Linked DNA regions of Ovis aries. The protein of the gene in region 1 purifies or fractionates together with the protein of each later gene. This does not show direct contact. Links are inferred from orthologs where the notes say so. Each region holds a gene or a part of one and is shown in the gene's direction. Other genes may lie near its edges.

The links. Proteins that work in one complex are often made in the same cells at the same time.
Region 2: the proteins of ADRB2 (region 1) and USP33 purify together in Homo sapiens (affinity purification with western blotting; 3 studies listed by BioGRID and IntAct, with this or other methods). This does not show direct contact. The link is inferred for Ovis aries from reciprocal best matches to the Homo sapiens genes ADRB2 and USP33.

The regions. Positions count from the first base shown.
Region 1 is NC_056058.1:58,013,342-58,020,551, forward strand, and holds ADRB2 (beta-2 adrenergic receptor), read left to right. Parts: upstream 1-3,983; coding exon 3,984-5,240; downstream 5,241-7,210. UniProt on the Homo sapiens protein: Beta-adrenergic receptors mediate the catecholamine-induced activation of adenylate cyclase through the action of G proteins. The beta-2-adrenergic receptor binds epinephrine with an approximately 30-fold greater affinity than it does norepinephrine.
Region 2 is NC_056054.1:54,170,099-54,177,633, reverse strand, and holds part of USP33 (ubiquitin carboxyl-terminal hydrolase 33), read left to right. Parts: intron 1-1,589; coding exon 1,590-1,635; intron 1,636-2,082; coding exon 2,083-2,263; intron 2,264-2,706; coding exon 2,707-2,833; intron 2,834-3,793; coding exon 3,794-3,963; intron 3,964-5,098; coding exon 5,099-5,180; intron 5,181-5,871; coding exon 5,872-5,980; intron 5,981-7,535. UniProt on the Homo sapiens protein: Deubiquitinating enzyme involved in various processes such as centrosome duplication, cellular migration and beta-2 adrenergic receptor/ADRB2 recycling.

The DNA.
Region 1 (7,210 bases):
ACATCATAAAAAAGAATGAAATCTTGCCATTTACAATTACATGGATGAAGCTTAAGGGAATGATGCTAAATGAAATGTCAGACAAAGAAAGACAAACGCATATGATTTCATTTGGATGTGAAATCTAAAAAATAATACAAGTGAACAACAAAAGAAAACAAAGCAGAAGTCATAGATACAGAGAACCAAATGGTGTTTGCCAGAGGGGAAGGGTGATAGGGAGAGGGTAAAACAGGTGAAGGGGGTCAAGAGGTACACACTTCTAATTATAAAATAAATAAGTCATGGGGATGTAACGTACAGCATGGTGACTGCAGTCCGTAATACTGTAGAGCATACTTGAAAGTTGCCAAGAGAACAAATCCTAAAAGTTAACTCTTAATGCATGTTGATGGATGGTAACAAGACTTACTAAGGTGATTACTTCACAATGAATACAACTACTGAATCATTACATTGTACACTTGAAACTGATGTGTTATATATCAATTACACCTCAACAACAAAAATAAGTGTTTTAAAAAATGGAAATAATCTTGCCTAAGCCAAGACCAGTCTAAGATTTTCCTAAAGCATCCAGATATTCATGTGAGAGCATTCCTTGGCTCACAGAGCCTTACTCCTCTTTAAACATTTGTTTGGTAAATCAAACTGTGACTTTTTTTCCTGTTTGGCAGGCAGGAAACGACAAATCAGAGTCTTAAGGGATTGACAAAATACGTAGTTAGACACTATCAATCACCATAAAAGAGCCTGCTTTTCCTTACATCTAACAAAGGTACATTTAGAACTTTCCAGTTCAACTAAAACCTTAACTCTCTAAGACCACAAGCCCAGTAAGCAGTGCTAGTCACACTCCTCCACTGGGAAATGAAGCTACAATGTTGGGCAGTGAAAACATGTGAGACCAGGAACAGACCTGGACTCCCAATCTTCCGTGCCACCTTCGACCAGACACTTTCCTAATTTTCAAACTGGAAGCGTGGAGAGAATAAGTGATCTATTAAACTCTTTTCCATTTTAACTGTCTTTAATCTTATAATTCTAAAAGGGAGGTCAGGTAAAAGACTCCTGGCATGAAGACAGTTTGAAATTTCTATCAGCCACAGTGATACAAGAAAAAGAAAGGGGAAGAGATTGAGAGAGGGTTGCCCATTTGGCAAAGCTGATGAGGAAAAGGCCTGGAACTTTGTTGACATAAGCAGCCTCCCTTCTGGATTTAGTGTTTGTGGGTTTTTTTAAAAGGTGCTTCCCAAAATAATCAACATTAAAATTTTAAGTGATTTACGTGTATATCTAAATGATCAATTAATGTTTGCCCTATAAGGGCTTTCTTTGTTCTTTTATTGTTATAAGACGGTTAAACAATATGCTTATTTACTTCATAGCTTCACAAACAGGAAGGAGGCTTTAAATGGCTCAGTTTCACAATTTGGGGTAGATATATATTTAAAGAAATATTGCATAATTGCATAATGCACACTGCCTCTTCCTAAAATGCATCATACCAGAGCCAATTTTGGAAAACACAAATATGGGATGGGTATATTTTGAAAACTATGCGAACATAATAGATTCTTAATTAATATGTGTGGCTTTTATGGGAAATATTTGTTATTTTAAGGCATCTGTCATGCAAAAACAATTTCTGCTAGTGAGGAAAGTTAAAAAGAGCATGTAGTTTAAATTTTGTTTCTGAGTTATACTTCTTGTGTAAATGTCCATGTTGCTTTTGTCCTAAAGCATTTTAGTGTTCTATTAGAGAATACTAACAATATCTTCTAAACTACTAAGTAATTTATATAAATTTATGTATAACCTTCATTTGTGTGGCATTTATTAAGTGCAAATCATAATTACCTTTGTCATTATATCATCTGATTCTCATTCAGCACAATGGAAGTGACTTTATTCCTCATTTAGATACGGAGGAAATTAGACTCCACATTTTTTATTTGCCTAAGGAATATAAGCTAGAAAGTTCTAAGATGAGAATTTGAAACCTGGTATTCCAATTCCAGTTGCGGTCCTTCTTCCCCATCCTCTATTCCTTTCTGCACTGTGGTGACACAGTACATTGAAAGGATTAAAAGATGGATTTTAGAGTCAAACAGGACTGGGTTCAGCTCCTGCTTTTGGCACTGCCTGGTCTTGTGCCCATGGGCAAGTTATTTTCTTCTTTGAGACCCCTTTGTGAATTAAGCTAAAAATAGTTATACCCTACCCCACCCTAACAACACACACCATGGGACTGTGGGAAGGATTAAATGGAATAATGCATGAAAAGCACATAGCAGAACGTTCCATAAATGTTAGCCATTGTTATGTTATTATGTAATCTAGAAAATATGTTCAGTTACACTGCATGAAATACTTTCCATTTTTCAAAGACACAAATGATACATGTGAAATCAAACCCTGACAATTAATTTTTTAAACAGTAAATTCATATGCCAGATGCAATGGATAGTATTTCATGGACAAAGACTCTAGTTTTTTTAAGAGAAGTTATCTTTTGCTTTCTGTGGTTTCAAAACATTTCTTAATGTTAACACCTTCTTATAATCTGAGCCATATGAAATTGTCATCTATTTAAAGTCAGATACTACAGAAAAGTGGCAATTTCATACGGCTCAGCCCAACAGATCAACAAACTACCCAACAGAAGATTTTTCTCGTTGCAAAGGGATTATTGAAGAAGTTGAACTTGAAAATTATTTCATTTTCAACATATTCTCATTTTAACAGATAAGGAAGGAACAATGCCACACTCCCTAGAATTAAGAATTAAAGCATACAACCTTCTCTTCCTATCCCCAAGCACATACACGTATACCCCAGCTCCAAATGAAATCCCAAGAGTAAAATTAGGTCTCAATCCCTGCAAATTTCCAAGGAGGGCACCAAAAGTACTGGACAGCAAGCATGCTGAGGAAGTTGGCTGCTGTTAAAGTCACCACCTGTGGTCTTGCCAAATGTCTGAAAGGGAATATGCCATGAGACCTGTGTATTGGGGAAGATGGGGGGGATGTCCAGGGGGCAAGGGTAAAGAGTTTGGAATATCCGGATGGGGAAGTCCTTCTCTGTGGCACACTGCTTGCCTCCAAGTGGGCGTTTGTATGCCGTTTGTTTACTTCTTTTTGTCTGTATGTCGGTGTCTTTATGCTTCTGGGTGCTCCTGGTTTGCTCCTGGCCATGTCGATCGTGCTGGACAGGGGTGATTGTGCCAGTCGGCTTCTGTGCCTGAGCACTCGTTGGTGCGCTGGATGGGTGTGTCTGAGTGTCTGTGGCTGTGGTTCCGTATAAGTCTGAGCATGTATGTCGGGGTACAATGTGCCTGCCTGTGCGTGTCTCGGTGGGCACGCTCATCTAATGCGAGGAAGTGCCGGAGTATTGCCATCTGCCCTGAGACCTCAAGCCGCACAGCCGCCCCAGGCAGACAGGTAGCGCCCACCAAAGAACCGGCACCTTCTAGCTGGCTGGTAAGCTCGCTAGAGCCGGCTTCAGCCTCCGGGGCCAGCCGAGGGAGCCCCGAGGGAATGGTGGCCGACCCGCCCTGCTAGAGCAGCTGGGTCCCGCCCGGGCCAGCCCCAGGAGCAGGCAGGAGAGGGGAGGGAAGGGGCGGGAGAGGGCGTGGGCCTCGCCCCTTTGGGGCTTCCCGCGTTCTATTGGTTGAAAGTTCTAGCACGTCACGGGGAGGGCAGTTCCCCTAAAGTCCTGGTCACATAACGGACAGCGCGCACTCAGAGACGGCTTCTCCAGAGCGCAAGCTGGAACTGGCTGAAACTGCCCGGCACTGCGAGTCCAGAGTACCCCCGGAGCTGAGTGCACCACGCACCCCTACCACACCCGCACCCACCCACGGCCGCTGAATGAGTCTTCCAGGTGCTCGCTTGCTGCCCGCAGCGCCCCGCCGGAGGTCCGCTCGCTGAGGGCGGCTGGTGCGCCGGCAGCCTGTGCGCTCACCTGCCAGCCTGCGCGCCATGGGGCAGCCCGGGAACCGCAGCGTCTTTTTGCTGGCGCCCAACGCAAGCCACGCGCCGGACCAAGACGGCACGCTGGAACGGGACGAGGCCTGGGTGGTGGGCATGGGCATCCTCATGTCGCTTATTGTCCTGGCCATCGTGTTTGGAAACGTGCTAGTCATCACAGCCATTGCCAAGTTTGAGCGTCTGCAGACGGTCACCAACTACTTCATCACCTCCCTGGCCTGTGCTGACCTGGTCATGGGCCTGGCAGTGGTGCCCTTTGGGGCCTGCCACATCCTCATGAAAATGTGGACTTTTGGCAACTTCTGGTGTGAGTTTTGGACTTCCATTGACGTGTTGTGCGTCACGGCCAGCATTGAGACCCTGTGCGTGATCGCTGTGGATCGCTACTTTGCCATCACGTCACCCTTCAAGTATCAGTGCCTGCTGACCAAGAATAAGGCCCGGGTGGTCATTTTGATGGTGTGGATCGTGTCTGGCCTTACCTCTTTCTTACCCATTCAGATGCACTGGTACCGGGCCAGCCACAAGGAAGCTATCAAGTGCTATGCTAAGGAAACCTGCTGTGACTTCTTCACGAACCAACCCTATGCCATTGCCTCCTCCATTGTGTCCTTCTACCTTCCCCTGGTGGTCATGGTCTTTGTCTACTCCAGGGTGTTCCAGGTAGCCAAAAGGCAGCTCCAGAAGATCGACAAATCTGAGGGCCGCTTCCATGCCCAAAACGTCAGTCAAGTGGAGCAGGATGGGCGGAGCGGTCTAGGACAACGCAGGACATCCAAGTTCTACTTGAAGGAACACAAAGCCCTCAAGACTTTAGGCATTATCATGGGCACTTTCACCCTATGCTGGCTGCCCTTCTTCATTGTCAACATTGTGCACGTGATCCAGGATAACCTCATCCCTAAGGAAATTTACATCCTTCTAAACTGGTTGGGCTACATCAACTCCGCTTTCAATCCCCTTATCTACTGCCGGAGCCCAGATTTCAGGATTGCCTTCCAGGAGCTTCTCTGCCTGCGCAGGTCTTCATTGAAGGCCTATGGGAATGGCTGCTCCAGCACCAGCAATGACAGGACTGACTACACGGGGGAACAGAGTGGATATCACCTGGGGGAGGAGAAAGACAGTGAACTGCTGTGTGAAGACCCCCCAGGCACCGAAAACTTTGTGAACCAGCAAGGTACTGTGCCCAGTGATAGCACTGATTCACAAGGGAGGAATTGTAGTACAAATGACTCACTGCTGTAATGCAGGTTTTTCTACTTTTTAAGACACCCCTTCTCCCCGGTTCCCTGCAACAAAACACTAAACAGACTATTTAACTTGAGTGTAATAAATTTAGAATAAAGTTGTACAGAGATGTGCAGGAGGAAACATATCCTTCTGCCTTTTTATTTTTTATTTTTTTAAGTTGTGACAAAATATATTTGAGTAACTGTTTCTTGTACAGTTCAGTTCCTCTTTGCCTGGAACTCGTTAAGTTTATGTCTGAAGGGCTTCAGTCTCAAAGAACCTGGGGCTGCTATGTTTTGATGACTTTTCCTGCATATCTACCTCATTGATCAAGTATTAGGGGTAATATATTGCTGCTGGTAATTTGTATCTGAAGGAGACCTTCCTTCCTGCACCCTTGGACTGGAAGATATTGAGTCTCTCGGACCTTTCGCTGTGAACATGGACTCTCCTCGCCCCTCTTATTTGCTCAAACGGGGTGTTGTAGGCAGGGACTTGAGGGGCAGCTTTGGTTGTTTTTCTGAGCAAAGTCTAAAGTTTACAGTAAATAAATTGTTTGACCATGACTTCATTGCACCTGTTTCTCCAAAACCCCTTGACTGGAGTGTGCTTGCCTCCCCCACTGGAAACTGCAGGTAACTATTTGCAATAACTGCCCAGTGACTTAATGTGGAATGACACGCACCGATTGCTTAACCCTTTCGTTTGCCTTTGAATCTGCCGCTGCAAACCTGCGTCTCTTCTAACGCTGCTGCTCCCACATCGGTTCTTTCGCCGTGTGCTCACCCAGCACAGCTCATCTTGCTCTTCCTACGAGCATTATTCCTGTGTTGTAACATCAGAAACACTGACTCATAGAACTGGAGTTATGGGCATCTGTTGTGTGCCTCCATGTGCCTCTGCTGCCCACCTTCCAGTTCTACTTGCTTTGCAGCTGCTTATATTTTTATCCTTGTCTTTTCTTATAGTAGAGATCATACTGCATCAGGGCTTGGCATTTTGAGGATAAGGAAGCTCTTGTGAAAAAGCTGCTCAAACATAGCCCTGAAATTCCAAGGGAAATGAAAAAGTCATGGGTTATAGGGAGAAAAGCTGGAAAACATGTCACTGGTGAATACCTCATGATCTAGAAACAGGGTTGAACCCTCCTCCTTTTGAACTGCTGTCCTTCTTTGCCCCCTCTCCCTGTGACTCTAGTCACTTCAGGACAAATCAAGATTTCTCAACCTCGTACTTTTAACATTTTCAGCCAGATAATTCTCCACTGTGGAAGACTGTCCTCCACATTGTCAGATGTTCAGCAGCAGCCCTGGTCTCTACCCATGAGATGCCAGGAGCATCCCCTGAGCTGTGACAACCAGAAATGTTCTCCAGTCACTGCCAGATACCCCTACCTTGAGGGATGAAATTGTCCCTGGTTGAGAACCAGTTATAAACTTCAAAACTCTAAGCAGATGTTTAGATTCTACCTATTATAACCACTTTATTTTGCAGAGCACCAGAGAGGCATTTTTCAGTTTTCTCAGTTAGTGACAGACCCTGGGCCAGTGTTCTACTTCATCACACTGCCTTCCAAGCTTATTCACCAGCTGCCCACAGACTGACTGTGAGACGTGAATTGTTTGGGAGGGTTTATCAATGAAGGTGAGGACTCTGAGCCATTACTGCCTGTTTGTGGAGAGATTATAATAGTGTTAAGAGGGACGTAAGGGAAAATCATGAAAGTAAACACATTTCTTTTCCCACCCCCTTTCTATTTTTGCCTGTGTGTTTGAGCCAGAGCTTGGCCCAGGTTTGACGGAGTGGATCGTCCTCCTTGGCAGCGCCAGCCAGGAGAGGTTCAGCCTGCAGGGTTCGTTGCCATTTCACTCACTTACAAAGCTCACTCTATTTCTTTCTTCTCTTCTATCCCAGCCAGGGTGCCCAAGCAAAAAAAGCATTAGTCTCCTCTGCTTCTCATCAGCTCAGTGATGGGGTGTTTCCAG
Region 2 (7,535 bases), on another chromosome or scaffold:
CAAATAGGAAAAGGAGTACGTCAAGGCTGTACACTGTCACCTTGCTTATTTAACTTCTATGCAGAGTACATCATGAGAAACACAAGCTGGAATCAAGATTGCTGGGAGAAATACCAGTCACCTCAGATATGCAGATGACACCACCCTTATGGCAGAAAGTGAAGAGGAACTAAAAAGCCTCTTGAACATGAAAGAGGAGAGTGAAAATGATGGCTTAAAGCTCAACATTCAGAAAATGAAAATCATGGCATCTGGTCCCATCACTTCATGGGAAATAGATGAGGAAAGAGTGGAAACAGTGTCAGACTTTATTTTTTTGGGCTCCAAAATCACTGCAGATGGTGATTGCAGCCATGAAATTAAAAGACGCTTACTCCTTGGAAGAAAAGTTAATGACCAACCTAGATAGCATATTGAAAAGCAGAGACATTACTTTGCCAACAAAGGTCCGTCTAGTCAAGGCTATGGTTTTTCCAGTAGTCATGTATGGATGTGAGAGTTAGACTGTGAAGAAAGCTGAGCGCCAAAGAATTGATGCTTTTGAACTGTGATGTTGGAGAAGACTCTTGAGAGTCCCATGGACTGCAAGGAGATCCAGCCAGTCCATTCTGAAGGAGATCAGCCCTGCGATTTCTTTGGAAGGAATGATGCTAAAGCTGAAACTCCAGTACTTTGGCCACCTCATGCGAAGAGTTGACTCATTGGAAAAGACTCTCATGCTGGAAGGATTGGGGGCAGGAGAAGGGGATGACAGAGGATGAGATGGCTGGATGGCATCACCAACTCAATGGATGCAAGTTTGAGTGAACTCCAGGAGTTGGTGATGGACAAGGAGGCCTGGTGTGCTGCGATTCATGGGGTCGCAAAGAGTCGGACATAACTGAGCGACTGAACTAAACTGAACTAGTAGTTAAGACTCTGTGCTTTCACTGTCAAGGACCCATGTTTGATCCCTGATTGGGAAACTAAGATCCTACCAGCCATGTGATATGGCAAAATAAAAAAAATTTATTATTAATAATAGTCATTCTTTATTTATCTCAAGTTATTAATTTCCACATTCAGGGGTAAAGGTTGTAGGGACTTCCCTGGTGGTCAAGTGGCTGAGACTCCATGCTCCCAATGGAGGGGGCCTATTAATAAAAGATTCCACATGCTGCAACTAAAACCTGGTGTAACCAAGTAAATAGATATATTTTTACAAAAAAAAAACAAAAGAATAAAGGTTATATATTGACCTGACCAACCAATTCTATAAAACTAGGATTTTATTTTACCTAGTTTCAGCTGATAACATGAATGTTGTAAAGGCATAGCCAGACCACAGACAGTAGATTTTTCATCAAAGAATTACATAACTCTGAAGTTTTATCTTAATTTAAATAATTTTTTACAGAAAGTGATTCCAGTGTTTTATTAGTATGTTTTTAATTGGTAGCATATAATTCAGTAGTAAGCGTTTTTAGTTTGATACCTTTGTCTCTGCATTTTCTAAAAGATTTTGCTGTATATTTGAAAATGCTAAAGGTTTTGTAGATTTGTGTGGGAAACAGTTTTATTAAAATTGATTTTCCCTTTTTACCCCTTAGGTTGAGAAATGGAGTGAAGTTTTGTAAAGTACAAAAGTTTCCTGAGGTATGGGCTTTATGACAGTTCATTTTATTTTATGCGGTAGGTAAAGCTTTAATGTAACCCAGTGCAGTGAATAGTTTAGCATTTGTTGAAGATTGAAGTGGTCCTATTGACCAATTGCTATGTATACCCATTATGATTATCCATTTTAAAAATACTGGATTGCATATCAAGTAAGTGCCCCTAGCAGTAAATAAAACTGTATTAAACACAGTTTAATCAGACATTGTAGGGTCTTGCAGGTATAAAGTGTAAAATTGGAAAAACCAGTAGCTATGGAGTTATGAAGTACCACATTTCGGGATTTCCACATTTTAACATCTCTGGAATGTTAATTGGATGATTAAGAATTGGATGATTATGTTTAATCTTGACAATAAGTATATTTAATAGACTCCTTTATCTAGAACAAGAAATTTTGAAATAATCCTACCTTTCTCTTTTAAAAAGATTTTGTGCATCCATCTTAAAAGATTCAGACATGAACTGATGTTTTCCACCAAAATCAGTACCCATGTTTCATTTCCACTGGAAGGCCTGGATCTTCAACCATTTCTAGCTAAAGATAGTCCAGCGCAAATTGTTAACTATGATCTTCTGTCAGTCATTTGTCACCATGGAACTGCAAGTAGTAAGTATCCAAGTTTGACATACGATTTTGCATTAAAAAAAGAAACATCTGAGTTGATCTCAAACAAAGCCTGATTGAACAAAAAAAAAAATGTAAAAGATTTTTATTAATTATTTTATTTTGGTTTTTAAAATGTCAGAAATTTTAAGAATTTGAATAATTTTACTCTCATGTTTAAAATAGTAGAAATACATTTTGTGTTAAGATAAATAGTAAGGATTTTAACATGATTATTTTATACTTTTTTTTTTAAGATTGCATTCTTTGTTATAATTTTGATTTCCTCCAATGATGGTTGTAAGGGTACCTACTGGAAAAAATAGGTTAGTTCTTGCTGTATCTCTGCTAGATAGGAACTGAGGCTACAAAACTAGTTTTATCTTCCATTCTTGTGTTAATTTTATATCACTGAAATAATTTAAATTTTATCTGCCTGAATTCAGGTGGACACTATATTGCCTACTGCCGAAACAATCTAAATAATCTCTGGTATGAATTTGACGACCAGAGTGTCACTGAAGTTTCAGAGTCTACTGTACAAAATGCAGAAGCTTATGTTCTCTTCTACAGGTGAGGTACTAACTCATGAGTAGGCTGTTTTGACAAAGATGACAAAGCATCTCATATTGAGGTTAATCGTGACTTCTAAGACTTTCAAAGTGGATTGCTGAGTAAAGATTAGAAATTGTTTTACTCTCATTATGTGAGTAAAAGTGAAGGTTTGTGTGTAGAATGATCTTTTGTTAAGAAAATGTTAAATCATTTAGTTGAGGGGCAAAGGGTTATGTTTTGTTTTAGAAACATTTGTTTTACTTTTAAAAATTAAGCACTGATAGTAGGAACTAAATATCAAATTTTCTCCTAACATAGCCAATAAAGGAGGTATTAATATAATATACTTTACAGTATCCTCTAAAAGATTGTACAAGCTACTGTCTTGTTAGCAATCATTTGAATGTCTGTTTTCTAACAGTAGTTATGTGGATACCAGTAGTTATCACCTAGATATCACCTCTAGGGTTATAATGTAGTGGGGGAGGCAGGGAGCAAAGTACAATATATTTCCTATGAATAATTTTTAAGACCTAATAAGATTCACAATACAGTCCACCTTCCATGTGCATGGGTTTTGCATCTGAGGAGTCAGCCAATGGCAGATAAGAAATATTGGGGAGGGAAAGATTCCAGAAAGTTCCAAAAAGCAAAACTTGAAATTGCTCACCAGTAACTAGCTACCATTTATGCCCTATATACTAATGTTTGCATAACATTTATATTATATTAGATATTATGTAATCTGGAAGTAATTTAATGTATATGAGAGGATATGCACAGGTTACATGCAAATGCTACACCATTTTATATAAGGCTTTGGTATCTGCAGGGTTCCTGGAACCAGTCCCCCATGGACATGGAAAGATAACTCTTTTAGTGTGTATGCAAAATCTAATAAGGAAGTGGAAAAATCCATTTTACTAGCCTAATGGAGTAAAATGCTTATTGAATATAATGAATCATTGTCCTTAATAGGAAGAGCAGTGAAGAAGCACAAAAAGAGAGGCGAAGAATATCAAATTTGTTGAACATAATGGAACCAAGTCTCCTTCAGTTTTATATTTCTCGACAGTGGCTAAATAAATTTAAGACCTTTGCTGAACCTGGCCCTATTTCAAATAATGATTTTCTCTGTATTCATGGAGGTAAGAAACTCTAATGAAAGGTAGTAGTAGGAAGTTTCTATTAAATAATTTACAAATAAGGCAAGAGCCAAGGATTTTCCTCTTCCATTTATTTTCCATTTCCCATCTACATTCCAACATAAATGTATTTAATTTACTGTCGTCTCAGAAATTAGTTTTTTCTTATAAGTATGGGTAATCTATAGCCTCTTCATAGAATAGATATTAATATTTATTGGGTACCATTTCCAAATGCTGTGCTAGAGTCTAAAAATACCAGAAACACTGTTTCTGTTCTCAAAGCTCCAGTTTCATAGTAAAGACAGATGCATAAATACCTGATTAAGGTACACGGATCGCTTCTATTGCTCATCATTTTTCTCAGCTGAGAGACATCCAGCTCCAACCGTATCCATGGCTCTTATCCCTTTTGTCTAAATGAATAGCTGGCTCTTTTCCTAACCAAAAAAATGTACTTGGAATTTAACAACAACAAAAAAAACCTCATGCAGTTATTTGCTAAATATAACTTCTGCCTTTGTGACTGACTGTGTTACTGCCTGTTCCCATGACAAATAATACCTTAGTGTGACACTTTTAATTAAATTTCATGGTCGAAGACTTGTTATTCTCATTTGTTAATTATTTTTGCAGTGAAACCTCAAGAGATAGTAGAAATGTCCTGTATTGGATTTAGAAATCTAAACTTTGAAAATATTTCTGTATGTGAAATTTTTCTCTTATTACTTTCTCCCACTTGAGCTATTAACTTAAGTCTCTTCCTGTTCAGAATCTCCCTATAATCCTCTTAAGGCATTTATCTGTGCCTGCCTTTTATTTTGGTTACTCATGTAAATTCTTCATTTCTTCTTCTGGATTATAAGCTCCATGAAGAAAAGATTGTCTCTGATTTATCTCTGGTTTGCCCCAATACATAGTCAATGCTTAGTAAAGATTTATGTAAGTTAAATACCTGAACATCTTGGTTAACTTACTCTATATTTCAAGAGAAAATATATCTTCAGGAACATATGTTTATACTTAATTTTCTACCTCTTGGGGAGATTTTTTAAGAATAATAACTGAAAAAATGCTAAGAATTAATCAGTTAAAATTAACAAAAGGAACGAGACAGATTCATTTTAAACTTTTCTAGGTGTTCCTCCACGAAAAGCTGGTTATATTGAAGACTTGGTTTTGATGCTGCCTCAGAACATTTGGGATAACCTATATAGCAGGTTTGTTTTTTTTAATCAGTATGATATTGTGAAAATCAGCTTATGAAATTTGTTAAAGAGAGATTGGTTATTTTGTATGTGCTCCTTGTGCTGTATGTTGCTTATGTAGAATATTCCCTTTTTCCTTCATTTATTCATGCTGAAGCATGACTGGAGAGACTTGTAGCTAGAGTGGCCCTGATCTAGATAATTAATTCCAATTTTTCTGTTCTGATCGTCCATCTATAAAGGTATGCTGTGATATTTAACTCTCTAAAGTTTTAAATTTTATTTAAAAATATTTCACACAATCCCCTAATACATTTCTTAAAATACATTGAAAATAATTCATTTCATGAATTCCTACTTGAGTGGACAGGGGAAGTCTCCTTCTGATTAAAACTTGATTAAAACTGTGGCTGTGTATAACTTAAGATTTATAAACATATAAACATGCTAATTTTTGACAGCTACTTCTTTTATTGTATGTTATTGTTGCCCCAAACATTTTGTAACAAAAGTAGCTGTAAGAGAAAGTTCAAATATAGATAAAGCAGACAAATCAATAAACTGATATAATCATTGACCCTGAAAAGCATAAAATCAAGTCCTCACAATAATTTAGTTTTTACATTTTATGAAAACTTGGATACATTTCCTAGATCAGCTTTCTTCCAAATTATCATAATTATTAATATTCTTCATGCCTTAGGTATGGAGGAGGACCAGCTGTCAACCATCTGTACATTTGTCACACTTGCCAGATTGAAGCAGAGAAAATCGAAAAAAGAAGAAAAACTGAATTGGAAATTTTTATTCGGGTAAAAAAATGATGCTTTTCAAATTAGAAAAATAATATAGAATAAAGAAAAAGAAGTGACCCTTAGAAAAACTCTGTAAGTGAAATGATTGGATGAAAGAGTTGTAATAGATTTTAAGTGTTACAGTCACATAACAGTGAGAGACCCCAGTAAGGTGACTGTAGTTCTAGTGAGTTAAGTTCTTCCTTTGTGGATTTTTGTTTTCATGGATTGGTAATAAATTTTGGTTTGTGTATTGGCACTGGCAAGAAGTCTTATTGAAATAGTCAGTTATAGGTTTCGGTAAGCTAGTGATTGTTTTGGAAGGCACCTACTTAGATTCCGTTCTCTACTTTCACTCCTTTGTAAAGTAAATATTGTTTGGGGGAGCTCTCTATACTTATACCTAGTTCCCACAAAGTGAATATATTACAAGATGTTTCTTGATTACAGGCAATAGAAAGTATGATCAGAATCAATAGGAAGAGCTGAATAACCAGGTTTTATGGAGAGAAAGAATACACTTCAATTTGTCTAGGTAGCATGAAGTAAGTTTCTTCAAAGTGGTACTGTCAGTAAAACGGCTCCAACTATTTATTTATTCAAATTCCTAATAGAGAATCCTACTAGAGTTTGGGTCACTTGAGAGGCATGTTCATTGTATTCCTGTTCAAATTATATTGGTGGAGGGATAATTCTGTAAGGGAAAATTGAGATTTTTTTTAGTAAAAGGTGGGGAGAAGTTATTGAGTAGATACTACAGATGAATAGTACATTTCATGTTGTGGACACACACTTCTCTTCACACATACATGTTTCTTTTCATAGATTTAGAGGTGTTTTTTTGTGTGTGCCCTTGCCTAAATAAAGACATTTTTACATACACAGGAGAATATTACAGGTGTGGATTGATTTATTGTTCTTGAACCTCATTTGCTTCCTAAATATAAAGAGGCAAATTTTAGTTAAATATTAAAAATAGGTCATTCCATGAATACTTGAATAGATGGCTAATGACTATCCATTAGGGTTTGATCACTAGAAGCCATTCTAAGTATTTTGAGTAGAATAGGAATACAAGCAATGCAAGACTTAAATAACTACTAAAAGAACTGTCAGTGAAGATCAAGAAGACCATAGCTGACTTTCAGGAAATATGGAAGGTGGCTAGGCTGCCATACTTGAGATAGGAGCAGGGACAGTGGTTCACAGTGGGGTTTCAGAGCCCAGACAAGGGAAAGAAAGCTTTTTTTAGTAGCGTGGGCCTGGTCAAGGGTGTTGGAGCACAGGCAACATAGAAATGGATTTCTATGTTGGCTGGAGATGGATATGTGAGGAGGCACAGTGTAGTGGTGGTGGCAGATTTGAGGGACTGATTTCTTGTGTGGGATTGATCAGATGATACAGGCATAATGAGAGCCAGATTTCTTATTGTCCGATAAAGGAGTTACAAATACTGAAAGAGAAAAAACTAAGGTGGACTCTTTGTTATTGGATTAAAATTGTAGATATCTTTGTGAACTCGCTGTCACAGACATATGCATATGTGTGTGCGTGCTCTGTCATGTCGAACTCT